2 linked regions of the Lytechinus pictus genome follow. The protein of the gene in region 2 purifies or fractionates together with the protein of the main gene of each other region. This does not show direct contact. Links are inferred from orthologs where the notes say so. Each region holds a gene or a part of one and is shown on either strand. Other genes may lie near its edges.

Region 1 (16,180 bases), on a different chromosome or scaffold from region 2:
AGGATGTTCAGTAATACTTGATTAACCTTATGGCCAAGTTTCATGAACTAGGTCCATATACTTTCTAAGTTATGCTGTCATTTCAAAAACTTAACCTCAGGTTAAGATTTGGTGTTGACGCCGCCGTCGCCGCCGCCGTCGGAAAAGCGGCGCCTATAGTCTCACTCTGCTATGCAGGTGAGACAAAAAATGAGAGTAAGTTGAACAAAAACTCGAAAAAAGGACGGACATGACCTCAAATCAATTGACCTTTTGACCCCATCATCCTTATGAACACACATATGGCATTACCCAAGGATCATTTGTACCAAGTGTAAACACAATTGATGCAAAAAAAAAGAAGAAATAATTGCAAGTTGACATTAAAAAAAAAAAAATTTGTGAAAGTGATTACTGGGTCTCTTCCCCGCTTGTTCAGGTGAGACAAAAAATTGCAATTCTTTAGGTCAGACATAAATAGCAAGGACTTATTAAATAGTTTGATTAATTGTTATACACTAATTAATTCAAACCTTTAAAATTTATTTGTTTTTAATAGTGCCGTTTTCCTTTCTTTCACAAGTACATCTTTCCATCCATAATAATTGAACAATCCAAAATTATTAGACATTACTCAAGCAACTCAACCCTCAATACACAGAGAGAAATAGTACTAAATACTGTAATTCTAAACTTACCTTTGTGATTTGAATTCTTTCATGATGTCAAGGAAGTCATTATAGACTTGAGGTTGGCTTCCAAACTGAAGCTTGACCTGGTCGAGATATGACAAAGCATCCTCAACTTTCAGCCTCTGATATTGTTGTTGCTGCTGCTGCTGTTGTTGTTGTTGCTGCTGCTGTTGTTGTTGCTGCTGCTGTTGGCCTTGTACCTGAGCAACTTGTGCCTTGAATAATTTAAATAACAGATAAATACATTTTAATATGGTACAAAGCAAAATTTACAATGCTTGGGTATTCCTTGGGCATTCCAAAGCGTATGGGATATTACATTCAATATTCTAGTAAACTACATATAACTCTTGCTTTAACCAGGGCTCTGTAAAATAACAAGTGGAATGCCTCTGGCCGTCTCACCTGCATCACGCGATTCAATATAGCAGCAGTACTGATTTTGAAAACTACTATAACTCGCACAAGATGTTCAGTGATACATGTACTTGGTTACTCTTATTTCCACGTTTTATGAACTAGACCAATACACTTATAGAGATATGATGGCAATTCAACAAATACCCCCAACGTGGCCAAAGTTCTTTGACCTTACATGACCTTTGACCTTGATCATGTGACCTGAAACTCGCACAGGATGTTCAGTGATACTTGATTACTATTATGTCCAAGTTTTATGAACTAGACCAACACACTTTCAAATTTATGGCTGTAATTCAACAAATACCCCAATTTGGCCAAAGTTCATTGACCCTAAATGACCTTTGACCTTGATCATGTGACCTGAAACTTGCACAGGATGTTCAGTAATACTTGATTACTATTATGTCCAAGTTTCATGAATCAGATCCATAAACTTTCAAAGTTATGATGGTAATTCAACAGATACCCCCAATTCGGCCAAAGTTCATTGACCCTAAATGACCTTTGACCTTGGTCATGTGACGTGAAACTCATGCAGGATGTTCAGTGATACTTGATTAACCTTATGTATAAGTTTCATGAACTAGGTCCATATATTTTCTAAGTTATGATGACATTTCAAAAACTTAACCTTAGGTTAAGATTTTGATGTTGATTCCCCCAACATGGTCTAAGTTCATTGACCCTAAATGACCTTTGACCTTGGTCATGTGACATGAAACTCAGGCAGGATGTTCAGTAATACTTGATTAACCTTATGGCCAAGTTTCATGAACTAGGTCCATATACTTTCTAAGTTATGCTGTCATTTCAAAAACTTAACCTCAGGTTAAGATTTGGTGTTGACGCCGCCGCCGCCGTCGCCGTCGGAAAAGCGGCGCCTATAGTCTCACTCTGCTATGCAGGTGAGACAAAAATTGCAATCAACTGCTAAACACCAATGACTAATCAAGATCATCATTGCACACTTTGATTCAACCGCTGACCATGAACCAATCAGGGTTTTATTTTGAATTCAGCTTAAGCTTTCATGTACTGTAACAACTATGGAAATGTTGCCTTGTTGCATCCCCCCAAAAAAAGAGAGAGAGGGGGAAAATAAGCTTATCTGATGAGTCCCAACCCCCTTCCATCCCCCCCAAAAATGTGTCGATATATGGACATTGCAGGGGAGCATTTCTTGAAAAGACAATATCCAACAAATTTTGCTTCATCTGACAGTTACCTGAGTAGCAGTCACACCTGAGCTTCTCAACAAATCAACATCAAGATTTCAAATGTTGATGACAAGCTTTTCAAAATGACAAAAAAGCTTCTTTCACACAGCATCCTAACAAGAGTATACAAAGCCTGCTTTTACAAATTTTGCTCATTCTCTTGAAGACGAGAACATACTTGTCAAAACATCAAGTCTGAGTTGTCCTTGTCAGGACCAACATTGGCCCACGAAAAAATACATGGTGTACCATGAAACCAATACACCCTTTCTTCTTTGCCATGAAAACCTTCAGAAGATACAGGAACATTCTCTTCAAAAAGTAGCTATGTCATTCATACAAATACATGTTCCATAATTTTTTAGGAGACACAAGAAAGCAGTTGAAAGTACCTGTGACTGTGCTTGAGCCTGATGGATGGTTTGTTGGTGAGTTGCAGCCTGTTGGGATGCAGCGTGTGGATGGGGATGGTTTGGTGGATGGTGTACCCCACCGTGATGGCTGACAGGCTGACCTACTGGTGGCACACTAGGGACATAGATGCATGAATAAAAAACATTGTCAACCGGAAGCAGTGTCATCTACATTCAGTGAAACTTTTTTTTCAAGGGCATGATGCTTGCTAATTCACTTTCACTACAAATCTCCCTTTAAATTTGGTTGTTGAAGGGATGGTCCGGGCTGAAAGTATTTATAGCTTAATATTAATAAATAGAGTAGAATTCACTGAGCAAAATGCCGAAAATTTCATCAAAATTGGATAACAATTTTAAAGTTTAGCAATATTTTGTGAAAACAGTCGTCATGAATATTCATTAGGTGGGCTGATGATGTCACATCCCCACTTGTTCTTTTGTATTTTATTATATGAAATTAGGTTTATTCAATTATTTACATGAACTAGAAAAATTGGATTGACAACTGATTTAGTGCATTAGATATTTATTGCTGCAACTTATTTCATTATAAGGGAGACATATTATTCACACAAGTATGAAATAATGAAAAAATTATGATTTTATGTAATAACATAAGAAAACGGGAAGGGGAGATGTGACATCATCGGCCCGCCTATTCATGACGACTGTTTTCACAAAATATTGCTAAACTTTAAACTTCAATAACTTAATTATTTGTTATCCGATTTTGATGAAATTGTCAGCATTTTGCTCAGTGAATTCTACTCTATGTATTAAGATGTAAAAATTTTCAGCCCTGACCATCCCTTTAAGTGGGTGGGCGATTGGACACAAAGATATCCCATCATTATCTGTCATGTTTTATTTCCATACAAAAATAAAGAAAATATATGAAAATAAAGAAATATTTCTTAATGGATAGCCCATTTTGGAATTTTATAAATGACGCTGTTCTTCCATAGGGCCCTAATAAAGGACCCCATGTATGAAGATCTAGTGAAGTTTTGGCATGGTTTCTTAATCAAACAGACACAGTGAAATAGTGGCATCTGGACTTAAACCTAAGTACTCTAAATATAAAAGACTTGTCAACACAAATAAGCACATGTGGGCCTTAACTAATATCACTTGAAAAGTGACAAAGAGCCATGCTTATTAATTGCCAATTACTAACTTTCTACTGGAATCATTTGACAGACGTTTTTCATTATCGTATATAAGCCCTGTGTGGGTCATTTTCTTAGATTCTGTTCAAATTTATTTATGACCTTTACCATTATGATTATGGAATTCAAGCTATAAACTTACGAATATCCAGGCATAGGTTGATAATGTAAACCACTGGCCATGTTCTCGGGTTGTACTGCCTGCTCGAAGACGGGGACAGATGAAGGCAATGGGATACGTTGGCTGCCAATTACCCTCTCAACAGGCACCGTTGTATTGACTCGCTGCTGCGGGAATGCACTCTCCTGAGGTTCCGCACCAGAGCGTTTCATTATGTTGAAGCGACAACCAGAGGACGATTATTAGGAGTCCTCTCTGATAAGAATCTGATTGGACAGCAATGGAAGACATGTACAACTGTAAGTTTCCTTTCTATTGAATGGACACATGTAGTTCATGACATTTTATTAAAAACATTGGAGAAGAATAATAAATACACAACTTAACCCAAAACATTTAAAAAACTTATATTTGGGAATTCACAATATGATAGAATGTTAGAATTACAAGTATTGCTTCAAAGTGTCAATGCCCTCTAGGCCTCTACATTAACTGATTGCAAAAAGAAAAACATGACTGTGCACATGCAATGAGAATACAACATTCGGTCCCATAAATTCAAGCACGAAATTCCTGCTTTGTACTATTATTTTCAAAACTCAACTTGGCTGATCAAGGGTTGGAAATAAGAGATCATGTAAAAAATTTGATATATATCTATATAGGAAAATAAAGTCATAAACTTGGTTGATAATATCTAGTCTTCTGCGACACTGATTACAAGTATCTTATGGATTTCTTTATTTTAACAATCCACCTGTCACTGCCAAAAAATCCTGGATGGTAAAAAAAAAAAAAAGTGGAACGACTGGCGGTCTCGCCTGTAATACGCGATTCAATATAGCAGCAGTGCTAACTTAATAATTATTCACAAAAAACACCATTCATATGACAATAAAATACTATGTTCACTGATCCTACAGGTAAATGATCTTTGACCTTGATCACATGACCAAAAACTCGTGCAAAACAATCAGTGACACACAGTCTTAATCACCTCTATGTCCATGTTTCATGAACTAGATCCATAAACTTTCAAAGTTATGATGGCAATTTAGCAAATACCCCCATTATTGCCAGAGTTCATTGACCTTAAATGACCTTGGTCATGTGACCTGAAATTCATACAGAATGTTCAGTCATACTTGAGAACTCTTTTGTCTAACGACTTTAAGTTTCATGAACTAGATCCATATACTTTCAAATTTATGATGGCAATTCAACAAATACTCCTACCGTTCATTGACCTTAAATGACATTTAACTTTGGTCATGTGACCTAAAACTAACGCAAGATGCTAAGCAGGCGAGAAAAAACGGGATGACTCAGGCATACTACAATGTACAGATAGCTCAGAATAAGGGTATTAAAATCCCATTCTGATGGGGATAAATTGTAGTTGGCTGCCTTCTTTTATAAATAAAAAAATATGATTTGTGGTCTTGCAGTCATGTAATTTGAGAGAAACCTTTGAACTCGTCCAAGTTTGATTACACTTTTTGAAGAAGCGAAAATTGAAATCAACATTGAATGGTAAGGCAAAAAATTCAATGCTGCACCCAAGTGACCCTTTTCAAACCTGCAGACTGCAGACATTTTCTACTCAAATTTGACCCCCCCCCCCGAAAAAAAAAATCATTGTTTTGCTTCTTTTTTTTAATGGCGAATAAAATTGCTCCAAGCAGCTACTTGCGGCCACCCGAAATGTTGTAAAACTGGTAGAGTAATGTTTGGAATGGGCAAGATAGGCTACTAATTATAAGTTTTGACTTGGGCCTACACATGTCCATGTAGCTTAATGGTCAATAAAAATAACAAGAATGAAGAATCTTTTAAGGAAAACATTTAGATCACTAATTCTATGTAGATCCTTCTAATGGCAAATATGACCAAGATCTGCGATGTCATAACTTCCCAATTACCTAATGTACATGGAAGTACAATTTCACGTCAATTTTCTCTTATATCAGGTCTCTCGCAAAATTAGGCGTTTTTATTTTTTTAAGTGGCATGTACATGTACATGTGTAGGTTTGAAAACATATCACAGAAGAATTGTTTAGTCAGAACTTAAAGGTCAAGTCCACTGAATATTTCAATTTTTACATATTTCATTTGGCAATAAGAACCCTCTTGTTTGAACTACAAAATGTGAAAACAATGGTAATTACACATTCAGGGAGGAATAAATCATTATTTTGCATGGCAATGAGGAGAAAATAAGCATATTTACATTTCATTTCAAGAAATACCAAAGAAATACTAGTAGTGAGTGGATGACGTCATCGGTCTCCTTATTCGCATACCGATCAAGATTTGAATATGACTGTTTTGTGAAATTAAGCAAAACTTTAACCGTCATAACTTTATTTTACATCCGATTTGATAAAATTTTCGGTATTATGCTCGTTTGATTTTTCTCTTTTTATTCAAACCAATATTTTGTTGTGGTGGACTTGTCCTTTATATCTTAAGAGATGATTTGGTGTATATTTGCAATGTCCAAAAGCCTGAACATGTTTGAAATCACAGTTCTTGCTCACCTAGCTAATTGATCATGGGAAGATTGCAGTATTTCCACAACATTGGTGAAAATGACATTCAAATGCTCATAAGTCTGAACATTCTTCTTGTCCAATTTTACACAAACTTTTGTTGAGCTTATTCTTTGATTTTTATGCTTTCACACAAGCTAATTTTCCTTTAAATTGGAAATCTAAACCAATAAAAAGCTGGTTTGAATAAGACCAAATGAATAATACTGAAAATTCCATCAAAACTGAATGGAAAATATGAAAGTTATGGCATTTTAAAATTTCACTTATTTTCAATAAACTGGTTCTGCAGTGTCTGCACATCAAAGTGACATACACATTATTGTCAATTTGGCACACTTACAATTTCGTTTGTATTTCATTGTTTTAGACTATAACAATATTTCATTGATTTGAACAGAAACTCTTCATTCAATACAATCTAAATTCCTCCTGGTTAGGAAGTAATAATTCTGTTTCACATTAAACTGAGACAATATACATACATGTATGGCATATTTCATATAATAAAATAGAAAAGAAATGAGAGTGGGTGACATTATTGGTTCCTAGTTCCCACATTTGCATATTGACCAGATGACAGATGTGCATTGTAATTTTGTACTGGGAAATTAAGTGAAACTTAATAATGTCATAACTTTCCTATTTTACATTTGTTTTGAGTGAAATTTATTATGCTTATTTGAGTTTTATTCTAAAAAATTATTTTTTTAAATAATAAATGGAAGTAACTTTATTTTCCTTTATTCTAAAATAAAATAATAAATTGTACTTGTAAGCAATTACATGCAAATGTACAGTGAAGTCATTGCCGCAAATGCACCATTATGTAGCACCACTGTAGCTCTGTAAGACTCATGAGAGATCATTGAAACTTGAAAGACCAGGAAAAGTCCATGGAAACTCGAAAGAATTCTGAAAGATCACTTGTTGCATAAAAGATCTCTGAAAGACAATTGAAAGATGTCTATATGACTAGTAAGACAAGAAGTATCAATCGGTCTTTCAGAGTTCTTTGAGTGGTCTTTTTGAGCCATTCCACAGAGATGACAAATTCAGTGATCTTGGAGATTGCTCTAAGACCTTGCCATTTTTTTGTCTTTCAAAGGTATTGTTTTAAAAATCTCCCCTCTGTGGAATGGGGGCTTAATTACTCTTAACAAGTGGAGCACCTCTGGCAGTCTCACCTGCATTAAGCGATTCAATATAGCAGCAGTGCTGACTTGAAAACTACTATAAAATGATTATTCACAAAAAGCACCATTCATATGATACAATACTACGTTCATTGACCCTAAATGATATTTGACATTGATCATGTGACCTAAGACTTGTCAGTGATACTTAAGACTTGTCAGTGATTACACCTATGTCCACATTTCACAAACTATCCATAAACTCTGTAAGTTATGACAGCAATTTGATAATTACCTCCAACGTGGCCAAAGTTCATTGACCTTAAAAGACCTTTGACTTTGGTCATGTGACCTGAAACTCGCACAAGATGTTCAGTGATACTTGATTACTCTTATGTCCAAGTTTTATGAACTAGATCCATACACTTTCAGAGTTACATGTATGATGGTAATTCAACTCCCACAAGATGTTCAGTGAAACTTGATTACACTTAAGTCCAAGTTATATCAATCAGATCCATAAACTTTCAAAGTTATGATGGTACATGTAATTCAACAAATACCCCCAACTTGGTCAAAGTTCATTGACCCTCAATGACCTATGACCTTTGACCTTGGTCATGTGACTTGAAACACAGGCTGGATGTTCAGTAATACTTGATTACCCTTTTGGCCAAGTTTCATGAACTAGGTCCATATACTTTTTTTTAAGTTATGCTGTCATTTCAAAAACTTAACCTTTGGTTAAGATTTGATGTTGACGCCGCTGCCATTGGAAAAGCGGCGCCTTTAGTTTCACTCTGCTATGCAGGTGAGACAAAAATAGCTTGACTGATTTAATCATTACAGATAGGCCTGCTAGTAAATGAATCTAAAATTTATATGATGAACATTGTCACTAATTAATCCTCAAAGGACAAGTCCACCCCAACAAAAAGTTGATTTGAATAAAAAGAGAAAAAATCCAACAAGCATAACACTGAAAATTTCATCAAAATCGGATGTAAAATAAGAAAGTTATAACATTTTAAAATTTCGCTTAATTTCACAAAACAGTAATATGCACATCCTGGCTGGTATGCAAATGAGGAGACTATGACGTCATCCACTCACTATTTCTTTTGTATTTTATTATATGAAATAGTCTAATTTACTCCTCATTGTCAAGTGATACAACTATTAATTCCTCCCTGTACATGTGGCATTAGCATTGTTTAATACTACATGTATGTTTCAGTCAAGTTCGTCCTTATTGTCAAATCTATAAAAAATGAAATATTGTATAATTCAAACAATAAAAAACAAAAGAAATAGTGAGTGATGGACATCATCGACTGACTCATTTACTGTAGTTGTGCATATCACTGTTTTGTGAAAAATAAGCGAAACTTTAAAATGTCATAACTTTCTTATTTTACATCCGATTTTGATGAAATTTTCAGCACTATGCTAGTTTGATTTTTCTAGAGCTATTTATTCAAGTCAGCATTTTCCTGGGGTGGACTTGACCTTTAAATGTATGTGTTAAATTTGATTGTGTTCAGTGTTGCATTCAAAAGATTTACAATATGTAAATACTGCATGTAGAAAAAAAATAATGGTGCAAACTCTAAACAAAAAAGAAAAAGAAATAAAGAAAGTGGCATCATCAACTTTGTTGAAAATTACCCACAAAAATTAAAAACATTCTGCCACACTCAACTCGGGCAACACAGCCAAATTTGGAAAATTCAAATTCCAGTTTGCTTCAAAAATCATGATTAATTTCTTTATGTAAGTTTGATCCTCCACCTACAGCAACACATCACAAAAAATACCTTGAGTTGTGACAGTTTATGGATGGGGCCCGTTGCAGAAAGAGTTGCGTTTAAACGCAAGCCAAAAAAAATCGCAAGTACCAAATGCGCGCTGTTCATTGGTTGAAAATCAAGTTGCGCGTGATTTTTAGAGTTGCGATTGATTGCAACTCTAAAAATCATGCACAACTTGATTTTCAACCAATGACATGAAACAATTATAATTTGCACCATTACACTCCAACATGCCTGTTCATGATGCAAACATTTCACAATTTCTGACTCAAGAATATTCACTTATAAGCTACATCCTTGATCCTCCAATTAGCAAAACCAGTTTAAGAATAAATAATTCCTGTGCTTACAATTTACATGTCATTTATTTCATATCCATACCATTCATTTGTTTTGTTACATGACATGTACATGTAAACTTTATGAGATTACAGTTACTCCTGAATGAGACTGAGGAATTCGGACATGACAATTGACAAATACAGGTAATCAGAAATAGCATAAACATAGCCTTTTTGGTGTGTTTACTTTAAGAGGGAATTCATAAAATGTCCATGGATAAACATGTATAATTCAAATGACATTGTCAATGGCATTGGCATGCATGACAATATAATATTTCATGCTTTGGAACTGAAAAATTCAACATAGGGTGTGCTTTCAGCCATGTTCCACCTCAAACAAAGCTAATAATAGTCCACCTCTGCTAGGTCAATACATTGTGTGCATACTACGAGGGACTACAACACATGGAAATCTGCAATGAATGCACAGACCCAATGACTCGCCGAAGCAAGTTGTTGCTGTGTCAAAAAATGGCTGACTGAAACTCTCCTTGGATGATCAGCATGAACCATTAAAAATAGGAAGACTGGCGATTTAAACCTAGCACGCAAAGCCAAAGCCGTCTAATCATCAAGAAAGAACATACAATTTTAATTTATATCTTAAAATATAAAAAAAAAGAACATGTAATTTTCTTTATCTTACATAAAAGGTGTCTTAACGAATAATAAAAGGGGGAAAAGAAAAAAAAGTTAAGACACATCCCACAACTACCACCCCAAAGACCCCTACACAAAAATGGTATCAGCCCATAAACAATATCTTTGAGATAACCAGGAAGCTGGCTGTTGTCAATCCACCGCACAAAAATCACAGAACTAAAGTGCTCACATAAACAAGAAATTAGACGATTCCATAGCAGACTTTGTGTGGTAAATTTGCAAAATGATCATGGTGATAAAAACAAATAGTAAATTAAATGATTTTGAATGCAAATATGGAATAAAACTGGCATATTCCCTTGGTTTTCTCTGAATAATCACATCGGTCGAAGTCAAAGGCAGACGCCACAATTCACCACGGCCTACACACAAGCACCGCATGATATGCACACAATAATGGGAACATAATTTAACGTGCAATGGCCAATCCGTTTTGGGGCGGACATTTGGAGCAGAATTATAATCTTCAGTATCATTCAATCTTCCAACGAATACCTACAAATCAAATATGAAAATGATGGAAAATAAACAAGGTCTATTACTTACAGAAATTGAAATGCTCAGATGAATTCCAACACACAAAATTTTACAATTTTCCAACACATACCATGTCAAACATCGCGCGAAGACAGTGCACAACCAACGCAGAACAAGTCGGACGTCGGGACATAATTCACGTCTTTTGTCACCAAAACTCGAAGAAAATGTATTCTCAGATTAACAAAATATATATAACTTACACTAAAGGTTCCGCAATACACAGTGATTAACATCCCCTATCCATCCACCTTTAAAATAACGTAAACATGAGGCTATCTGTGAAGAAACAACCATCAAAATTGCAGTCCCATACAACAACCTCACCAGCTGGGCAGTGCGAGACGCTTGACGATCAAAACATAGGGAGAGTTCGGGTCGAAATTTTCTATGGTCTCCGCTGTGAAAACCTTGCTAAAATATAAAAGATTATCATCCAACCTGCGATCAAAAGATTTGCCATACAATGCTAGAGAAAAGAACACTTCAACAAATAAACCTAGAGAGAATTACCAGTGAAATCAATCAGATGGTCCAGATTTCCTCGGATTTTACGTCCAAATCTACGGGTAAATCCACATCCTTATTTCGGGAAAGATACACTGTTATGCTTATTTGCATATAATACGTACGACCTATGGGCAGTAGTCTACGTCACAACGTTAATTCATTAAGTGACCAATGATGAGCTGCATACACGCGAACCCTGACAGGTGAAACGCGCGCCCTACGCCCACAATCCTTAACAAGCCAATGAAAATAGAATTTAGTTGATTGTAAGAAGTGTTTGAAGTTTGCGGCGCGAGGTTCTAAATTTTATCAATTTGTTGGAAGTTCTATGGAATTGGTGCTCGAAAAGTCTACTCCCACTTTACGGGAATGATTAGCCTAACGTATTCCTGAACGTAAACTGATCCTGGCAGAAATGCACAAGCTTGAACAATACATGGGTGTCTTTATTATTTATTCTGTGAATTATACAATTTTGAAAATTACCGAAATAACAGAAACTTCGATCGCATGTACCCGGTGTGTTGCATAGCAATTATTTACACTTAATTCAAATTTGGGTATATTAAAAGAAAGATGTTCATAACTCCAATCGTTTTGCTGTATATAGGCCTTCATGTATTTCTATCAATGCACACAGCTTCGAGTATTATTTCTTTCTCCTGATAATTTCTCTCTTCGCCATCAGAAGACGAAAAGATTGTTTATAGCCATGAAAGTCAGTATATCAAGAATGTGTGCCAATTACATGTATAAACCATAATTGTGAAATAAGTCATATAAATACAAAAAAAAATTATTGTGAAATAAGTGTAAAAAAAAAAGACTGATCATTATGGGAGGCTGTTTGTCATTGAAAAGTGGTATTAGGCCTAATCTACAATTGTCCAATATTTTCGGCGTGCCAAATTTTCTATTACATAATTTTGCATGGCAAAGGTGTGCAAAATAAATGAAAATTTTGTATTAGTATTTTTACTTTTTTTCATGCCAAGTTTAACAGCTCAGTATAGCTATTTTTCTTTTTCAAGTTTTCAAACTTATTGAGGGGCGAATCGATTTTCAGGGGGTGACAATCTTCTCCTGCCCCTCCAAGGCCTTTAGTCACTCTCTATTTTCTGCCTCAACTACACGTAAATTTGTATATTGTTTGTCTCCATAACCTTTTCTAAATTACATTTGTTAGCTTAATGTTGTTTCTGCGTATTGGAGAGGAATGTATAAATGATAAAATCTTGATTTTTAATCCGCTAGTTTGTGGAATATACACTCTTAAAACAAATCAGTCAAATTGACTGGACAAGTGGTCATAGCTGGGTGCAACTGATATGCTAGTCACATTTCTGACATATATTCTATACTCTATTCTAGTAAAATACGACAAGAAAATAGTCAAATAACGAGAATAACAGTGGCACCCAGCTGACCCTATTCACTATAGTCATTTTTTACTGATTTGTTTTTAGACTGTACGATACTTAGCCAAACTGATAATTTGGTGTAGCTGTAATTTCCTTTAACCAATTAGAACTCGATTTCATGATCTAGTAAATCAACAAGTACAGTTATTCCCTTAAAAAAATCATAAGATATATAGATAAAAACATACAAGGAGAAAAGTAAAATATAGTGGTAATTTTCCATCGGTTATATAGTTTTCAATTATGTTTGGAAACATTTATTTTGGTCAGAATCGTAACTGTTTGAAATTCGAAATGCAAGCATACAGAGACTTTTTGTTTTGTTAATTGTTATAACATTTGATTGTAACTCCAATTCAGACTTAGTGCATGTATGCATGTTCACATTTTCATTTTCGTTTTGGTAAATTTTGAAATGCACATGACTGTAGAATGTTTAGAATGTCACTTGAGCAAAACGTTGGCTTTTGACAGAATCTTTCATGGGGAGGGGGTGGGGTATGGGAAAGGGGATAAATCGTCTACAGCGCCTCCGTCTTGAATTTCGAAGTCCGCCGTGACACACCTCCTGAACCCCTGTTACATAATTTACACTGGCACCATATCGGATCATTTTCAAGCTACTTCTTTTGGTATATAACCTAGCCCCCAAAAATATTTGTCTGATTGTTTAGAAATTTATATCCCAGGTAGAAAAACTAGACTCCTCTAAAGACCCACTTAAGTTAACATATACGTTAATTCCATTGGGTCTTCAGAGGATCTGCATATATTAATTGCATATGTGCAACAGAACGAAAACGGACCGGAGATAGAACCTTCACTTTTGCATCCTCAATGGAATGGAACAATCTCCCTCTCACATTAAGACAAAGTCCCCAAAAGTTGAATCATTTAAGATGTTCATAAAAAACGTGTTTGTTCATTCATTCTGTATTTGTTTTTGCATGAATTAGGTAAACTTAAATTGTAAGCGCTTTGGGCCATTTGGGAAAAGCACGTTGGGTGTCATCATTATTATTATTACTATTATATTTTATCTCTCTGTGCATTGATATGAAAACGACATGAAGAATTTTTTTACGAGGCGTACAGTAGGCCAATCTTAATTCAGTATATAGAATATTAGAATTCCCCAAATGCTAAAGTAACACAATAAATGAAACCACAATGACAATTTTTAATGTAAATACCAGGGGTGGCGCCACCCCCATAAAAAAAGATGGGTGGGGGTGGGGATACGGATGAGTATCAAAATGAGCTCTGGGAGTGTAACTCTACATCAGACCCTGTAATTCAATTAAGGAAATGTAAAGCTGTAAAAATGGCAGTTAATCTCCTGCATATAGATGGCTAGTTAACTAAGAAAGGTTGTTACAAGATAATTTGAATTACTAGTATATCGGACTCATAAATCATAGATAGATCGTTGATATCGACGGGAAAGGCTCTCTCTTTTCCAAGTTAATGTAGCATGCCAATTTAACCTGTCATTTTTGCCTCCGTCAGTTCCTTAAGATTTGCCATATTCACCTCTGCCATTTCCATCTCTGCCTAACAACCACTTGATCTACTCTCAATTTGGACTAATTACTCTACAGCCCAACTAACTTACTCTCACTTAGTCAATCTATTAATAATTTACCCTTTGTCAAATCAAAATTTGGTTCATAAAATCAATATTTCATTTCATCATATGTGATGACACAAATGAAAAGGTAAGCAAGTTTCCACTTCTGAACAACAAAACCTTCACATTTTGAAAACTTACATCACAAGCTACACAAAAGCAGATACTAGAAACACTGTTTATGTGCATGTAAATCGAAAGAAAGTTTATTCCTTTTTGTAACAAGACACCAAGAGAACATGAATCCATCTTATAATTCGTTAACAATAAATACTTTATTATGACAATCATGAAAGAGTTAATGAATTCAGAACAATTAGCATCATATGATAAAATCTTGAAAAAAATCCCACTGGATAGAAAAGCAATAAAGTAAAAGAAAAGGTTTTAAGATTGGAGACATTATTATACAACATCTAAAGGCATGATATTGTACAATGGTACATGATCTCTTGAATTCAAAGAATTAATCAGTCTTTCAGGATCAAGAAAAAATTGCATAAAGTTTTTAAATAAGTGCATGTAAATTATGGCTTCTATTGCACAAAATAATAAGTTACATGTAACAGAATGTATGTAGAAAAAAAAGAACAATATCTGAACGGTATACAAAAACTGACAGTTCCAAAAGAAAATTTGATGCAAGATGATGATATAAGCATTACACATGTATGCTTTGATCCATGAATTTCATGAAAACATTACCATATTAAAAAAATTCAATGACAAATAAGCAACTCTTACAAATGAGCAACAGGGAATAATTTTCCTCGTATCGCATCGCAATTCGCTCCACATTTTTGAAAGACTGCTATGCATAAAGTCTTTTGAATAGCATATTTTTACATAGGACTGTACATTATAATAGTTGAGAGCTTTTCTCTTATGACCAAAAATGCTATTCAAATTTGTCCAGCAAAATTATTCCCTGAGCAATCATATCATTTAACCCCATTCTGATAAATCTCCTTAGATCCTCCCACCTAGTTTTCAAGCTCAATTGCATATACCACAGACTGTCACCTCTTGTTATTAGTGTTATATATGTATGCCATACAGACACTGATGCATGATGGCAAAAATCAATGCATCACAGTATTGCTAGCAGAATTGAAGATGGCAGTATACAATTTTAAGTAGTGTTAGTGTAATACCATTCCTCTAATAAGAAACCATGGATGAATAATAACTTAATACTCATATGAGTCATGACCAATATTTTGAACTGAATTTTGTGTAAAATGCCAGTCCAACAAATATATCATTTAAGTTTGAACAACAAAATGAAATCAAATATCCCCCAATTAAAATCAATTTCGTCAAGACCTGACAAAAAACAGAACAAACATGCATGCTTCATAAACCATGGTCTAAAACTCTGGTATAGTATGGGTTGAAAAATGTGGCAATAATCTCTTTTCAATATTCATCTGATTACGCAAACTTCTCAGTATAAAAACATTTAAAAAATATATAAAAACTAACAGTGTGAAAGGTTTGGGGCATTTTTATCTACCTGTAATCACTAGCACATATTACAAATCTACATTTTAAAGT
Region 2 (16,332 bases):
AAAGTTTGAGTAAAATAGGACTAGCAATAGAAGAGTTATGAGCATTTGAATGTCGAGATCACTAATGCTATGGAGATCCTCCCATTGGCAATGCGACCAAGATCTATGATGTCACAGATGAACAACTCTCCCCTTTTGGACACTGAAAATATACCTCAAAACATCTCTTTTTGCTCATTCTAATCATATGACAAACGATTCATCAATGATATAATGTTGTGAAACCTCTGAACTTGTCCTCTCATATAAAGAGAACACCTCACCTTGTGATAGACTCTATAAAAGTGAGAATATAAGTGAAATAAGTACTAAAGTAATGAGGGAGTTGTACGTGTGTGACATCACAGATCTTGGTCGCATTGCCAATAGGAAGATCTGCATGGCATTAGTGATCTCAATATTCAAATGCTCATAACTTTCTTATTATTCATTCAATCTTCCTCAAACTTTCAACAATATGTTTCTTTGATTTTTCTCTTTGATATGGATTTAGCTGGTTTCAAGGGTTTCATTCTCCTTTAATTATTTTTGTGTGTGAAATTTTGTTTATTTATCTATCAATCTATTATTTTAATTGATTAATTAATATGTATTTATATTGTTTGATAAACGTACTTATATTTATTCATTAATCATTAAATGTATTTGTTTTCAGTTTTTTTATTTTGTGATGTAGAGAGTCAGAGGTATCATTCGTTTTTAATTATTTTATGTGTGAAATTTCGTTTATTTATTTATCCATCTATTTTAATTGATTGATTAATGTATTTTATATTTATTTATTAATCATTTATTTATTCATTAATCATTTAATTTATTTGTTTTCAGTTTTTTTTCTTTTGTGATATAGAGAGTCAGATCGAGTTATTATTCGTTTTTAATTATTTTCATGTGTGGAAGTTCATTATTATTCCCCTTGTTTTTGGAAAATAAATTGGAGCCCCCCCCCCCCCCAGCATTTCATTTTAATTATTTTTTTTGCGGGGAGGGAGGTGTCATCAATAATCAAATTACATAGTTCTTGTATGATTTTCTCCCAATCTTTCACTTGAAGTAATGCTGCGAATGAATCCATTTATTCATTCATGTATCATATATCTATTTATAATCACCTGGATGTAAGTAGTCAATATTTTTTTTTCAAATCGGTTTTCTTCTCTTATTCAATATTGAATCACTCATCTGGCTTCCTGTGTGTTATCAATTTGGTTTTTTTTTTCATTCCTTTCATAAATGCCTTCCCCTGGCTCCCCACTTTTCATCCACTTAAGATAAAAAAACAAAACGAATAGGTATATTCATTCGGGGAAGATTTATTAATTTTCTTTGGGTCAATTTCATTATTGCTTGAGGGATATTTAAATTAATCTATATTTTACTGAGACTTACCCCCCCCCCCCAGTCCCCACAATTTGAGATTATATGTATATTATTCATTTTGCGTATAAAAGTAGGCCCTACAACCATGTACTTTCAAAGTACGTTTTTTTTTTTTTTACCTTAACACAATTTATTAATCTTTTGTTTTTTAAAAAGCTTACAATACCGTTTATTGATATGCCAGTATTTCTTCAGCTAACCTACTGAGTATTTTCTCATCCTGCATTCATTTTAAAACTGAAAGGGATGGTCCGGGTTGAAAGTATTTATCGCTTAATAAATAGAGTAGAATTCACTGAGCATAATGCCGAAAATTTCGTCAAAAAAAATATTGATCGATCGTCATTTCATTAATTCACCATCCAAATATTGCATTTTTTCTTCGCCTATATGGTATTCATTTATTTACTAATTCATACACCCTTGCCCTCCCCCCCCCCCCCCGATTTCCCGTTTTTATTAAAAGATTTAATAATTTCGGAAAAAGTGTCTCAATGTATTCTTATAATTTATTTTTATGCACGAATTATTCTACTATTTCCCTTTCTGTGATATAGTATTTCAGGAGTTTAATGTGTCCCCCAGATCCGAGATTTCGTAGCGGGGGGGGGGGGGCGCAAATTTGAGAAGACAGTTGGTGGTACAGAGGTCTGTCTGGTTGAATGCGTCAGGAAAAAAATATACACACAGGTACGGGTTCAGTATTTTTAAAGGGGCGTGCATGGATACAGGCTGGTCGGACACATTGCCATTCATGAAATCCATAGTTGGCCAGTCAAAGAGGAAGAGGTAAAAGTTTTTTTTTTTTTTTTTGGGGGGGGGGGGGGGGGGTCGTGCTATGGAAGTTAATGTACATTTTACTTTAATTTTTACCAACAAGATATGCTTACCATGATTATACGGCCGAACTAAACGAGATAACTGAACATTAAAAAAAAATTATAATCCATGTGTTAAAAGCTATCAATGGAGCACACTAAGCTCTCTTTAACCCAAACAGCTAACGTTTATTTAATATTTAATTACTAAACTGAAAATGGAAAAAGGACTTTACAGTGACGCATGAACAGGATATGAAAGAGGAGCGCGAGCTGAATTTTTTTCACACTTGAAAATAGGATGCGAATGCGATCGAAGTTCGAGATGAAGTTTGTTGATATATATCGACACGAAAAGGGTATGTTTTTAAGCACTGCTGACATGTAGGAGTGAGAGAGGCGGGGGCATCTTGTTCAACACTTTACTTCATCTGTAAATATCATTATTTTACATTGATTTACATGTAGTTTAATTACCACTAACATAGCACCCTGTTGCTAGGCGACATCCAACAATTCTTTAGGCGCTGTTTGTCATGCAGTTGCATCGTACATATTACTTAGTTGACAGTGAGGTCACGAATCGTGGCATGTTCTGATATTGTTTTTTTTTATATATATAAACACAAATTTAGAATGAGAAACCAGATAAAGCACAAAAGTATTTCTAATTTCATTGTTTTTTTTATATACAAATGCCAAATCACAACACGTTTTTCTCGTTGTGATTTCGTTTTTGTGTTTTAAAAAACCAAACTACGGGGCTGATTTCCGATTTCGCTTCTTCATGATTGGAACAGAAAAACAAATTATCCATTAGTACCTTGATTGTGCAGGTTACTGGGCAAGTGAAAATGACATTCACAATTGATCTTAGCAAGGAATTCATTACATTTATGAGTAGAATACAATTTAACATAATAAACACTAATTAAAGTGTGAGAATGGAAATATTTGATTAGAGAATATCGAACTTCTTAACCAAAATGCGTGACAATTAAAAAAATATATTTTCAGCAAACCTTTAAGAATATTTTTTCCAGTTTCTGCTTTAATTATCATCAACTTTGCGTCAGGGTAAACTGCCCCCTTTAAGGGTAGGCCATTCGTGTCAATTAATAGACAACATTTTTTCCCAAAACAGTGCAAACATGAACGAATAAATGAATATATGAATAAACCAGGAAATGAATAAGTGAAACAATACGAAGGAGACAGTCAGTCCGCAAGCCCTGAAAAAGTAGCTTCTTTTATCCAAGTGATATTCATGACAAGAGGGTTTTTGCATAGTTAATGAGCTTGGTGCGAACCAAAACACCTCTTTTTATTCGGCCACTGCTGCTCTAAATATCGACAAAATTTCATGTTTTTGGTATTTTTGTAAAGAAGAAGAATCATTCTTTTAGGTCATGTGTTTGGATTCTTAAAAGAATGTTGTAATATAGGAAAAACTTTTGATCTAAAACATGAAACAAAATATTTTTTTTCATGCAACAAAAGTTGTTATTTTTACACTTAATTTCTGTTTAGGCACAAATGATTTTTAAATCATGATAAAGCTGAAGATCTAAGCTTTAATATGATATAATTTTTATAAGAAGATGTATTTTAGATGGGTCAGCAGCCAGCTTTTCATAGGCCAAGTACATTTTGCAGCTCAAAAACAAGAATACTGCGCTCTGATTGGTCATAGACCACACACCCACGCAAATTCCAATGATCCCCACACTGGGCCTCTGCAAGGTCACACTCACCATGTGGTAATCTCTTCAAATTACCCGCGCCTGTTTGTTTTGAAAACAGTATTCAGCCAATCAGAACTCTGGATTTTATGTTACTCAGAAATTTCAGAAATCTCGTCTTGCATCTTGATGGAAATAACTGGCTGCTGACCCATCTAAAAGATGCCACATATCAAGAGTGACATTGTAAGAAAGTACAGAGTTTGAGCTTTCTGATGATATAAATAATGTTGGTGCCTAAAACACAAAATGTTGCACAATTTGCAAGTGAAAACAGAGGAAGAAAATTCTGTTTGATGCATCTTTTCAGGTAAAAAATTCACTTATTTATCAAAATATTTCATTCAAAAGAAATGACCAATATAAAAGGGTAACATTTACTCTTGCCCATGGTACAAAAATAATCAATATTACTCAAGGAAAAAGTGGTTAAATTCTTTGAGAAAGAAAGTCTCACAATTCACGAGATTTTGCAGGGACATGAATTCAGCCACGTGAGGACTTGGATAAATCTTGCTCATTTGCTCATTAACACAGGGGCTTGCGGACTGACTGGAGAACTTGAAATAGTGATGCATTAGGCCTCTCTCTCCCACTCTCTCTCTCTCTCTCTCTCTCTCTAACGTTTCACGTATTGGCTTCAGTGAGGTAACAAAATATATTTTGTTATATATATAATAATATATGGTATACAGAGAGATAAAATCCATAAGTAAAAAGAGAAATTAACAATAATGGTTGGTCTAACATCAAATAAGACAAAAAAGTTTAATACAAACAAATACATCAATTGTTTAATTTAAAGGCCAAGTCCACCCCAACAAAAAAGTTGATTTGAATATAAAGAGGAAAAAAAAACGTTCATAACGCTGAAAATTTCATCAAAATCAGATAAAATAAGAAAGTTATAACATTTTGAAGTTTAGCTTAATTTGAAATAATAGTTACATATGCACATCCAGGTCGATATGCAAATGAGGAAACTGATGATGCCATCCACTCACTATTTCTTTAGTATTGTATTATATGAAATATGATATTTTCCCATTTTCTTCTCATTGTCAAGTGAAACAATTTCTCCCTGAACATATGGTTCATTCACGTTGGCCCTTATTGTAAAAAATGTGAAAAATGAAATATTGTATAATAAAAAAAAAAAAAATAGCGAGGCCGGAACTGTATCATTTGCACGTAAATGAGTTGTGCATATAGGGCCTATATTACTTTTTTTGTGAAAAATAAGCGAAACTTTAAAATATCACAACTTTCTTATTTTACATCCGATTTAGATGAAATTTCCAGCGTTATGCTAGTTTGATATATCTCTATTTATTCAAATCAACATTTTTTCTGGGGTGAACTTGACCTTTAAACAAAATATAAATTCCTTTTATGTAACGAAAAATAAGGTTATAACACCCCAAGTTCAACTACGACTAATTCAAAGAAGGTAAACGATAATTTTTTAATTCAGATTATACTTTCTTCAAATTTTCAAAGTCATTCATGCCTGAATGATCGAGGAATCTTCTGAGGATACCAGGTGAAAGAGAAGATATTCTAAGCTTTACAATGAGTGCCGTCTTCATTTTGTATAGCCATTATAACTTACAGAATGAATAAAAATAAATGAAAAATAAATGAAATGTATGGCCCTGTATCAACATAAGACTTCAGATAACAAAAAGATGAAAATATGATAAATAAATGAATAGATAATAAATAAATAAATGAACTTCCACACATAAAAAGAATTAAAATCGAATGATACCTCTGGCTGTCTATATCACAGGAAAAAACTGATAACAAATAAATTAAATGATTAATAAATAAATATAAATACATTAATTAATCAATTAAAATAGATTGATAAATAAATTAAATGAACTTCCACAAATAAAAAGAATTAAAAACGAATCATAACTCTGATTCTCTATATCACAAAAAAAAATTAACTGAAAACAAATGAATTAAATGATTAATGAATAAATATAAATACATTAATTAAACAATTAAAATATATAGGTTGATAAATAAATAAATGTAATTTTAAACATAAAAATAATTAAAAACCAATTGATACCTCTGACTCTCTACATCACAAAAGAAAAAAAAACTGAAAACAAATAAATCAAATGATTAATGAATAAATATAAATAAATCGACAAATAAATTTCTGAAGAAGTAAATTATTATCTCTCCTTAATGTTTATTTGGAAAATAAATTGGAGCCCCCCCCCTGCCTCCTACAGCGCCGCCCATGATATTCTTTCCTTGTTTATTTGGAAAATAAACTGAAGCCCCCCCCCTCCCCCCTACAGCGCCGCCCATGATAATTCTCACCGGCCGGGGAAACAAGCCCCACGACCACGTTATTTTCCATTATATAACAGCGTAAGGGACCTCGATAACGAGTATACTACTATAGCCGTCATCCGAGCCCCACACACGTGCGAATGCTGGGACAAGCGCATTGGACGGGGCCAGTTTCGCGACTATCTTAGGATGCAAGCTTAATATATACTCGTGATATAGGCCCCGCTACTGTGTTGGAGTGTCTGAAGTGCCGTAGTGCGGGGCCTATATAACGATTATAGTACTTTACTCGTGAAACAGGCCCCGCAAACGGACATTCTAAGCCATTCAACACAGCAGCGGGGCCTATATCACGAGTATATATAGTGAGCTGAAGTTAGCAACCTAGATATTGAGGTAGTATAATCGATTACAAGTTTTTCTCGAGCGGGGCCTATATCACGATTTTGCCACATTTATTTGCACACAGACCATTCCATAATTTGATATTTTAAAGTTTAAAATGATACCATATACTGATCAGTGCAGTGACCAAGACCAAGTCAATAAAAAATAGTTTAGTAACATCGCATGTTGTGTGAGTGGACCAAGTCGAGAAGTCCATGCCATGCCATGGGCATGGCCATGGACATGGTGACAAGTTCAAGTTCTTGCCTGTTGTTGGTTGACTGAATTCAGTGCAAGATTAGCATTTATTTAAACTTCTTTTATAATTTTAATGAAGATTCTAAGTAATTTGGAATTGCAATTCGTATTCTGTAATGTACGTATCAACAGACTTGCACGGGAACTAAAATATGTGCAAGAAATTAATTCAAAGACAAAGATTATTCAAACCACTCATTCAGTGAACAAGGTTATATCATAACCTTGTTCATTGAATGAGTGGATATAACCTTGTTCTCGGTTAAATCTCCATGTGTGGCAAAATAAGGATGGCAATGTTTGGCTTATTTTCTCTTTTTCTTTGGGACAAGTGCTTGATTTTTTTACACTGACAGTTTCCATTACACCTATTCGTCATACAACTTGGCCCTTTAAGTAAATTTGATTCTTTAAATTATTTTTTTCTTAATTAAAAATATTATTTTCCACCAATAGAGGGCGTACACAAAAATATGCCCAAAATTCAAGTTTTTGAGCGCTCTAGTGAATACAAAAATTATTCCCAAGTTACTAATGAAAAATAAATTGCAACTGTACGGAAATAAGTAATTTTGGTCACAAAAGTGATATTTTTTAAAGTGTGTGCTCTGTACAGCATTGGCATGCCATAGTCCAACCTGTAGATTCCCCACAGGCAGGGTGGTTGCAGTAAACAAGTGATTCAAACAGTGCAAAAATGAGAATCTAGGTATAAAAAATGAACAATAATAATTAGATTAATACATACTCAGATTTCCACAGTCATTCAAACTCAAGTCTCTTAAAAAAACCCTGCATATTTTTAATATAAATACAATTCAATCTATTGTGTTTTCATGTAGAGGTCGATTTTGTATACCATTAATTAATTCCTAAAATATTCATTTCAATCTTCATAAGAAATGAAAGTATTCATAACCATAATTGAAAATATAACATAATTTTTTTTGGTGGCCCGAAAAATATAAAGAAAAACATTAATTAAAAATGAATAAAACAAACTTCTAAAATATTAATTCTGCAGCCACTACCACTAGGTTACTTTCACTTTGTACATCTTGTATGTAAATCTTGTTTGCTGTTATTTTACTTTGCTAATTGATTTGTGGTAATATATAAATTGTTCTATCATTGTAAATATGAAATGATTGAAAGAGAATAAAAGATTTGTATTGTTCTCAGGTTATGTGGACTTTAAAAAAAATCTCTGTATAGACACACACTCATAATAGTAAAGTAAATAAATAGTGCATAGCAAACTCAGATAGATGTACAAAACAGTACGTAAGATCATGGCAGTGACAAAAATGGAAATTGTCACACATTTTGTTTAATTCATCATTTATTATGCACTCCAAGTCTCCAATAAAAAGATAAATGCAGATTTGTTACCATATATGAGTTTATCCATGTGACATTATTGATTCACAGAGATCAGAGAAACTTCACTACATTTCTTTAGTTTAACTATTTTACTCTTGAGTGTTGTACTGTCAAACATAGGCATGAATACATGTATATCTTTAATATGCAAGTCTTATCAAACACATGCATCATGATGCATGTAAATGGTATCTCTGTATTAACTTTTATTCTAAAGAATTATCCATTATCATTTTGCTCAAATAGCAATCTAGAATTTGTGTGTATTTGAAAAGTGACAGTTGGTAATCTAATATTTATTTTCCCTGTTTAAAATCTAGTAAAATGTTTTCCAAGAAGTTTTTTTTCCCCTCAACAAAACATTAAATGAAGACGACCAGTGACATTCTAGTTTTCCTCTATGTATGTATCATGTAGGCAAATATATTCATGAACAGTGCCTGGATTGGTAATTTTTTTCTTATCTTTTGTCCATACCAGAATGAAAGAGAAAAGCAGCCCATTTAAATCTAGCTCAATGAAATCGAGCATGAATCCTTCGACGACAAAATTGTCGTCTTCAACATCATCGCAGCGCAAGATGAATGGCTTTAGTACAACAGAGGATGACAGTCGTGACTCCGGACATGGTCAGATATGTTGTTTGGTGGACGATGGTCAGCGCTGTTCAAGACCTGCAGGGAATGCATGCTATAGTAAACGTATTGCTAAGACAGTTCAACAGAGGAAATTAAAACTGACTATTGATCACAGTGTGAGTATGCACATACATCAACTTCCAAATGACAATATTGAGAGGTGAACATGTTCTTGAAAGAATTATATTTGTGAGAAACCATTTATATTTATGTAATTTTGTGAAATAATTTATAATTAACCTTATTAGAGCTCTTTATCTTTTTACTTGCTTGTCAGTGAGTGCCAATCTCTCTCTTGTGAGCAGTGACTGTATCTTTTTTCAGCATCATCTTTTTTCAGATGTATTAACTTCATGAAGTTGTCATTGCCATAATTAGGTGATCATGAAAGTCATAGAAGTACACTGTTTCTTTGATATTGGTGATTTTTTTAAAATAATCATTATCTATCTTCATGGTATTTTTAAACAGGTGAGGCATATCTATATCTGTGACTTTCACAAGTCTATGATACAAAGTGTTCGTAGTACCAAGAAGAGGAAGAAAGGAAGTGATGAAGATGGTGGAATATCTCCAGATCATGATCTTGATGTACCAGAGGTATTTTCTTTGTGAATCATTTTTCAATCATTCACCAATTTATTTATCATGATGACTCAGAAATAAGAATTTTTTATTTATTTTTTTTTATTTTATATATCCCAACAATAAAGACTGATAGGCCTTTCCTTTAAAAAAAAATCTTAGATCCTTAGTTGTATACAAGTGTGATATACTTGCAGTTTCCCCGGGAACACAAGTATTGGGCAATTCCAAGCAAAAGTGGAAATTTTCCAAAAATTTATTTTGGCTCTATTTTAATTCTGGATCAAATTTTTCTATCAAAACTCATATGGGATTTCATAAATACAAAAGGGGAACATAATTAGACACAAATTTTTTTCTTACGCATCTCCTTATAGGAGAATCCAAACCATACAAAAAATTCTATACATGGGACTATGAATGTTTTTTTTCCTTAATTTCAATTTAGCGGAAAACTATTGCTTGTTTTGTAAAATTTTCTTTTGGATAATCTGAAGGTCATCATTTTACATCATATCAAAAGAAAGTTTTTTAAATATAAGTTCATTTTACGTTGCCTGTGGGTGAATATTTCAGATGTCACTCCGTAACCGAATATGGGTTTATGTTTGAAGTTGTAATTACTGAAAAAATACACCAATTTTTAATGTAATGCAGCATATTAAAGCTAGAACAACATAGAATCCAATCAATAACTCAAAATTGTGATAGCCATTTAAAGTTCACAGAGTTTGAGCAATATGTTTTCTCCTCAAATATGCATGTCCATTTTGCGTCACTCTGTAACCATGTTTATGAATATTCATATCTCATAAATTCAGTGGATCAAAATAACAAATGTTATTATTTTTAAAGTGGGCTTCATCAACTACTGTCAGGTACCATTTCTTTGAAAATAACTATTTAAATATGGGTGATATCTTTGTTTGAATGCTAAAATTTGTTTCTGAATATCTCTCCATTACCTTGGAACTGCTCTATTGATAGAGTTCATTAAAACATGAAACCCAATTGCTCTTGAAATACCCGAAGCTTCAAGGGAGATAAACTATAAACCCATACCATACTGTACGTTTGTAACATTTACTGAAAAATGTCATGAATGTCACTGACTATTTTCTTTCTCTACAGGTTGATTTGTTTCATTTACAAGTGAATACTTTAAGAAGATACAAGAGACATTATAAGATTCAGACCAAACCAGGGCTCAACAAGGCACAACTTGCTGATGTAAGTTCAAGGAACTATCACAAATTATGGGTGGGGGTATGTTTATTTCTTGCCGCAGCACTATTTTGTTGTAGAATCCATTTTAAGAAGCAGTTTTCTAATGAAAATTGATATTCTTAACCCTAAAAAGACTGGGGGGGGGGGGCTGATTCAGCCCCCCCCTCGACATTTTTCGCGATAAATCCGCCGCTTGAAAGTTTTTGACCGTGTCACTTGCTGACTTTTTACTTTCAAGTCTCGCGCGACTTTCGAGACCAAAATTGTGACCCCCGGGTACGCGGTTCCGAAATTACGCAACATTTTGTAAGTGCATGCAGACCCAAAATTACTCAAAAACGTAAATTTGTGTACAAATCCAATGCAAATAGTGTTTTTAGCCAAAATTCATAAATGTATCATTATTTTTCCTTTTACTGCTTAAAATCAATTAATTTTATCTTTTTAATGGTAAAAATAAAGTCCCCGATAATTTCCATTGAAAAACAATAAAAAACAAAAAGTCAAAAAACAAAGAAATACATAAGAAATTTAGAAAACAATAGAATACATAAGAAAATAAATGTGATGTTGAAATTTTTTAAAAATAAATTTGATCAGATGCCTATCTAGAGTATGTGAAACAAAAATTACCATTTTAGGGGCATTATTTTATTAATTAGAGCAAACTTATGATTTTACGCATAAATTAGCATAATTAATGAGCAATGAGATTTTTTGCAGAATTTGATATTATAGTTTTGTTGATAATGCCATGGGTAACGCGTGTGCCAATTTTCGTCGCGATCGCGCGGTCGACGGCCGAGATCATAAGGGGGGGCTGAATCAGCCCCCCCCCCCAGTCTTCTTAGGCGTCGAAATAGCCCAGTCTATTTAGGGTTAACACATGGAAAAGGACTTCATTAGTTTTTATTTTTGTGTGTGGGGGGGGGGGGGTTACTTTGTAGAAATAGTAACGATCCTACAAACCCCTTTGAGAGAGGTATTTATATGATTTTTTTGCCATGGTCAGCAGTGACATAGCTCAGGATGGGGGAAGTGGGCATGTAGGGGAGATCGCGGTTAGTTGGAGCGTGGGGTAAAGTTGAAACATTGTGTAATTTTCTTTAACGCCTGTAAAATGAATTTATGCAATACTGCCCTCAATTTATTGCTATTAATGGTACAACACTTTTATATTATTAATAGCAATAAATTGTGGGCAGTGTTGCATAAATTTATTTTACAGGCGTTAACCCTTATTAAACTGGGGGGGGGGGTCAGTTTGATCCCCCCCCCCTCAACAAATTTTGTCACTACGCCGTCGCACAAATTTTTTTGACTACGCCGCTCACTGACTTTTTACTTTCAAGTCTTGCTTATCTTTTGAGACCAAAATTACGCAACGTTTTGTAAGTGCATGTCAGACCAGAAATTGCTCAAAAACGTGATTCCGTGTAAAAAATCAATGCAAATTGTGTTTTTCGACCAAAAATCATAAGTGTATGATTATTTTTAGTTTTGTTGGTTTAAATGGATTTATTTTATGCTATTTATGATCACAAAAGGGTCCTCGACAAAGTTCATTGGGAAAAACAATAAAAAACAAAGAAATACATAAGAATTAAAAAAACATAAAATACATAAGAAATTAATTATATTTTTGCTATTTGTTTGTAGATATTTGTTAGAAATGTTATAATTGATACTCCCACCAAAAATTTGCATTCTACTAGCTATATAAATTGAGTTAAAGGCAAATACATACACAAAAAAACAAATTTATGGCAAATTTCATATGCTTATTTGCATAATTAATAAAAAATAAAAAATAAAAAAAATTGAAAATTTTACTATACACTCAAAGTAGTTTAAATCCGGCAAATTTTCGCGGCGATTGCGCAATCAGTGGCCGAGATCTGAGGCCCCAGTATATACTGGTCCGAAATAGCCCAGTTAAGATAGGGTTAAAGAAAATTACAATGTTTCAACTTACCCCGCGTTCCAACTAACCCCGATCTCCCCTACCCCGGGATCAACTTTCAGGATGGCAGCAAAAAAAAAAGAAAAAAAGAGAAGGTGAAAAAGGAAGAATTAAGGAAGAAAAACAAACCCTAGTCTAATCTTGTAAACCTTCTGGTGTTAATAGGGCATGATTTCATTGCAGACTCCCAGTTTCAGATTCTGGTTGGGCAACTACCGTATGTCATACTGGCACTGCGTTTCAACTGTTGGAGGGGACGCAATGCTAGCACTTGTCCTGTGTCCTGCTTTCATTCAAATGCAATTGGTTTTTTTTAGTAGATAATTTTTCCTGTATTAATCAATGTTAAGCAAGATAGGATATCTTTACAAAAATATGCGGTCATAATTATAATTGTTTTTTGTATCCCTTTAATCATTTTACAGATGGTTGCCAGGCATTTCAGGACCATTCCAGTGAGAGAAAAAGAAGCTCTGACTTATTTTATCTACATGGTTAAGAATAATAAGAGTCGCTTTGACCAAAAACATGACCACAGCTAGAAATCATAAAACCAATACGTACGTGTATAGCCTGTCTAGACCAGTGCACATAGAGGTGAATTGTGGAATGGTCTAATCCCAATCTGTCTATCCTAATAATGATAAAAACATACCTCTTTTGGTCTCAGTCCACTTGGTCTAATCCACTTTTTTAACCAGCTTTTCTACTAGATATTCAATTTAATTGTCATTTTAATAGACCATTAAATTTTTGCGTAATTTTTAATGTGAACATACCATTTAACTTACTTGGTTTATAATTTAAATCCACTAGTCTACATGATCAGGCAACTGGTTATGGGCAAAAAGGATAAGCCCTAGTTGTACAGCCGGGCAAGCTGAGAATTAGACCAACTGGGAGGTTGACCAACTGGTAATAGACCAATGAGGTTTTGCAGGAAGCTTACATTCATTTGCAAATGAAGCATAAGACCCAAAATCAAGCATAATTTTGAGTTGCAATGGAATGCAAATCAACTATGAATTTTCTATTGAACAAAGGATTTATGTTTGATTTTGGGACTTACGCCTGAATGGGAACTGAACACAGACCTTCTGCAATGCCCCCCCCCTACGCGAATATCAACATCATCTAGATATAGATCCATCATGATTATATGACAGCTGTAAAGCGAAATCATCCATGTGAGAATCTCAATTTTCACTGCTTGATATTTCAAAGTCCTGCCAAAAGCATAACTTGGGGAATGTTTCACAAAGATTTAAGTGTGATTTAGAATCGCACTGAATTCGTTTTTTGCACGCAGTATGAAAGGAATCATTGCACTGGTCAAATCATGCTATAATGATGTGAGCTTTTGTGTTAAGTTTGCTCTATTTATATCATGTCCATGTCGGCATTTATGCACGACTCTTAAGTCATACTTACCATGTAAAGATAATTTCAATCTATTCTTTGTTTATTGTAAATACTGTTTTTCAAATTGTAAAGTAATTGCTTCTATTTATGTAGCTGTTTGTAAATAGCTTCTCATTGTGTATTTGCAATAATTTTTGTTCCTCAATATTGATTGTTTTCTGGAGTGTCAAGCGCCCTCTAAGATCAGGGGGTGTATTCTGAAAATTGTCTTAAGAGAAATAATCTTGTATCTTTAGAGTTACAATAAAATCCGTATTCTGAAAACTCTTGTATCTTTTCTTGTAACTTTCACTAAGCGCTTATGACGTCAGAGTTACAATGATGCGTAAAGTTAAGAACGGCGCATAGATCTCTGTGCGCAAGATAACATATCGAGATAAAAGGTATTCTGAAAATTCTTTGCGTTCTGTTAACTTCCTTGCAAAATACAAGAAAATTTACAAGAGGTAGGGGGCTATTGTAACTTAATGTTGAATGCGATATTTCTCGGTCAGCAATAACAATTTCTTCCTGCATCCCGCAAGAACATCATGTTTTATAAAAGGAGACATTACAAAGACGTTATAACAACGGATTGGTAGACTTCAGCAATTGAAAATTGGCATTCGAGATGATGAATCTTTTCAGAGAAAATATGACTCTGAGAAAAGCCACGTGTATTTTAGCCGATTTTAGCATAGTAGTGTACAGGCATAAGCGTCGGTGGCGCAAAGGAAATTACGCCGCATGTCAACAATGCGCTTAATTATTTTTTTAGAAGGGATGCTTCTATTGGTTGACCGAAGCATATAAAAAGTTTGATTGGTTGATGACAAAATATTAGGCATGTCGGAGATAAAATAGGGGAAGTCCTTACAGAGATGAGACAATTTTCAGAATACTGATTTAAGATAATTTTAGCGAGCTGTTATCTTGCTGACTTACAAGAAAAGTTACAAGAAAAGTTAGGACAATTTTCAGAATACCACCCCAGGTTTTTTTCATATATTAAAAAAAAAAATCAATATTGACATGCAGCTTTTGAAGATTCCCATAACCATTCTTTACAATAGAATGATAAATTTCACAGAGACATGAAGAACTTTTCACAAATTTTGGCATGCAATATATATTCATGTAGTAGCAAGTTGTGTAATCATAGGCATTAAGTTCAAATTGTTTAGTTAAAAATCTATTCTGAGACACATTATTATTATTGTTGCCCCAGCCTTGTCTGGGTACCCATTCACTTCAGTCTGGAAGTTGAGATGAATCTCTTGCTGAAAGAAATTATTTCCATTTGAACCCATGAGCCTCTGAATAAAAACAACAAAAATAAATGTCATGAAAAGTTTTTTTTATGCATTTACTAATCTGAGATCAAATGATGAGAGAAAATAATGAATGGATAGGCCTAATGCATTCTACCTGAAATTGATGTTGCAACACAAAATTAAGTTAGTCTCTTTTGAATGCATGCTGATGATGAGTGTATTCCTTTACAACATTTCCACATCAACTTCATAGTTAATATTGAACAAGCTGTCTTCACTTGGTATGGACAATAGTTTTCATGATCTTCAAAACATCAGACCAGAGAGTTGTTGCATTAGACTAACTTCACTTGGCAATTATGGTAACTATCATGGGAACACTAGTCAACAATCAATATCATTATGATTTGTGCATCTCTATTGGGATTATGTATTATGTAGTGTCAATTAGCCATAAGCATCTTTTCATAATGGATAGCAGCGCCCCGTCTTACAAAGAGTTACGATTGATACAATCAATCTCAAGTATATGGAAATCCATCAATGTCATAATTTTTTTCTTTAGGAAATTTGCTCAATGTCCTTTGAAAATAAGGAGAAGTATACTGAATTTTCAAGAAAACAGTGAATGTATGAATATACATCATTTCTAGAAAATATTTTGAACAAACATTTATTTTAGATGTTGATGTTTCCATAGTTTCGATTGATCGGATGAATCGCAATTCTTTGTTAGACGGGCCCCTGGTGTGTTACAAATGTCCATGTTATTATTATTACCCATTATGCAGAGTTAGGTATATAGATAGTATGTCATTGTCAGTGATTTTCAGTGATTATGGAGAATTTTTAATATTTAGATATTACTCTCATTTTGCTCAAATTGTGATTCCATGTTCATTCATTTGGGCTTTTTTGTTTGTTTTAAAAGTCATTTAGTCATTTGATACTTACAAACTT

What was found.
Region 1: the proteins of histone deacetylase complex subunit SAP30L-like (region 2) and paired amphipathic helix protein Sin3a-like purify together in Homo sapiens (affinity purification with western blotting; 4 studies listed by BioGRID and IntAct, with this or other methods). This does not show direct contact. The link is inferred for Lytechinus pictus from reciprocal best matches to the Homo sapiens genes SAP30L and SIN3A.

Annotation. Positions count from the first base shown.
Region 1 is NC_087247.1:13,908,388-13,924,567, reverse strand, and holds the start of paired amphipathic helix protein Sin3a-like, read right to left. Parts: upstream 11,676-16,180; 5' UTR 11,576-11,675; intron 11,351-11,575; exon of another isoform or gene 11,266-11,350; intron 11,161-11,265; exon of another isoform or gene 11,072-11,160; intron 4,284-11,071; 5' UTR 4,230-4,283; coding exon 4,039-4,229; intron 2,840-4,038; coding exon 2,704-2,839; intron 887-2,703; coding exon 678-886; intron 1-677. UniProt on the Homo sapiens protein: Acts as a transcriptional repressor. Corepressor for REST. Interacts with MXI1 to repress MYC responsive genes and antagonize MYC oncogenic activities. Also interacts with MXD1-MAX heterodimers to repress transcription by tethering SIN3A to DNA.
Region 2 is NW_026974140.1:19,461,700-19,478,031, forward strand, and holds the start of histone deacetylase complex subunit SAP30L-like, read left to right. Parts: upstream 1-8,765; coding exon 8,766-9,038; intron 9,039-9,393; coding exon 9,394-9,522; intron 9,523-10,638; coding exon 10,639-10,737; intron 10,738-13,122; coding exon 13,123-13,239; 3' UTR 13,240-16,332.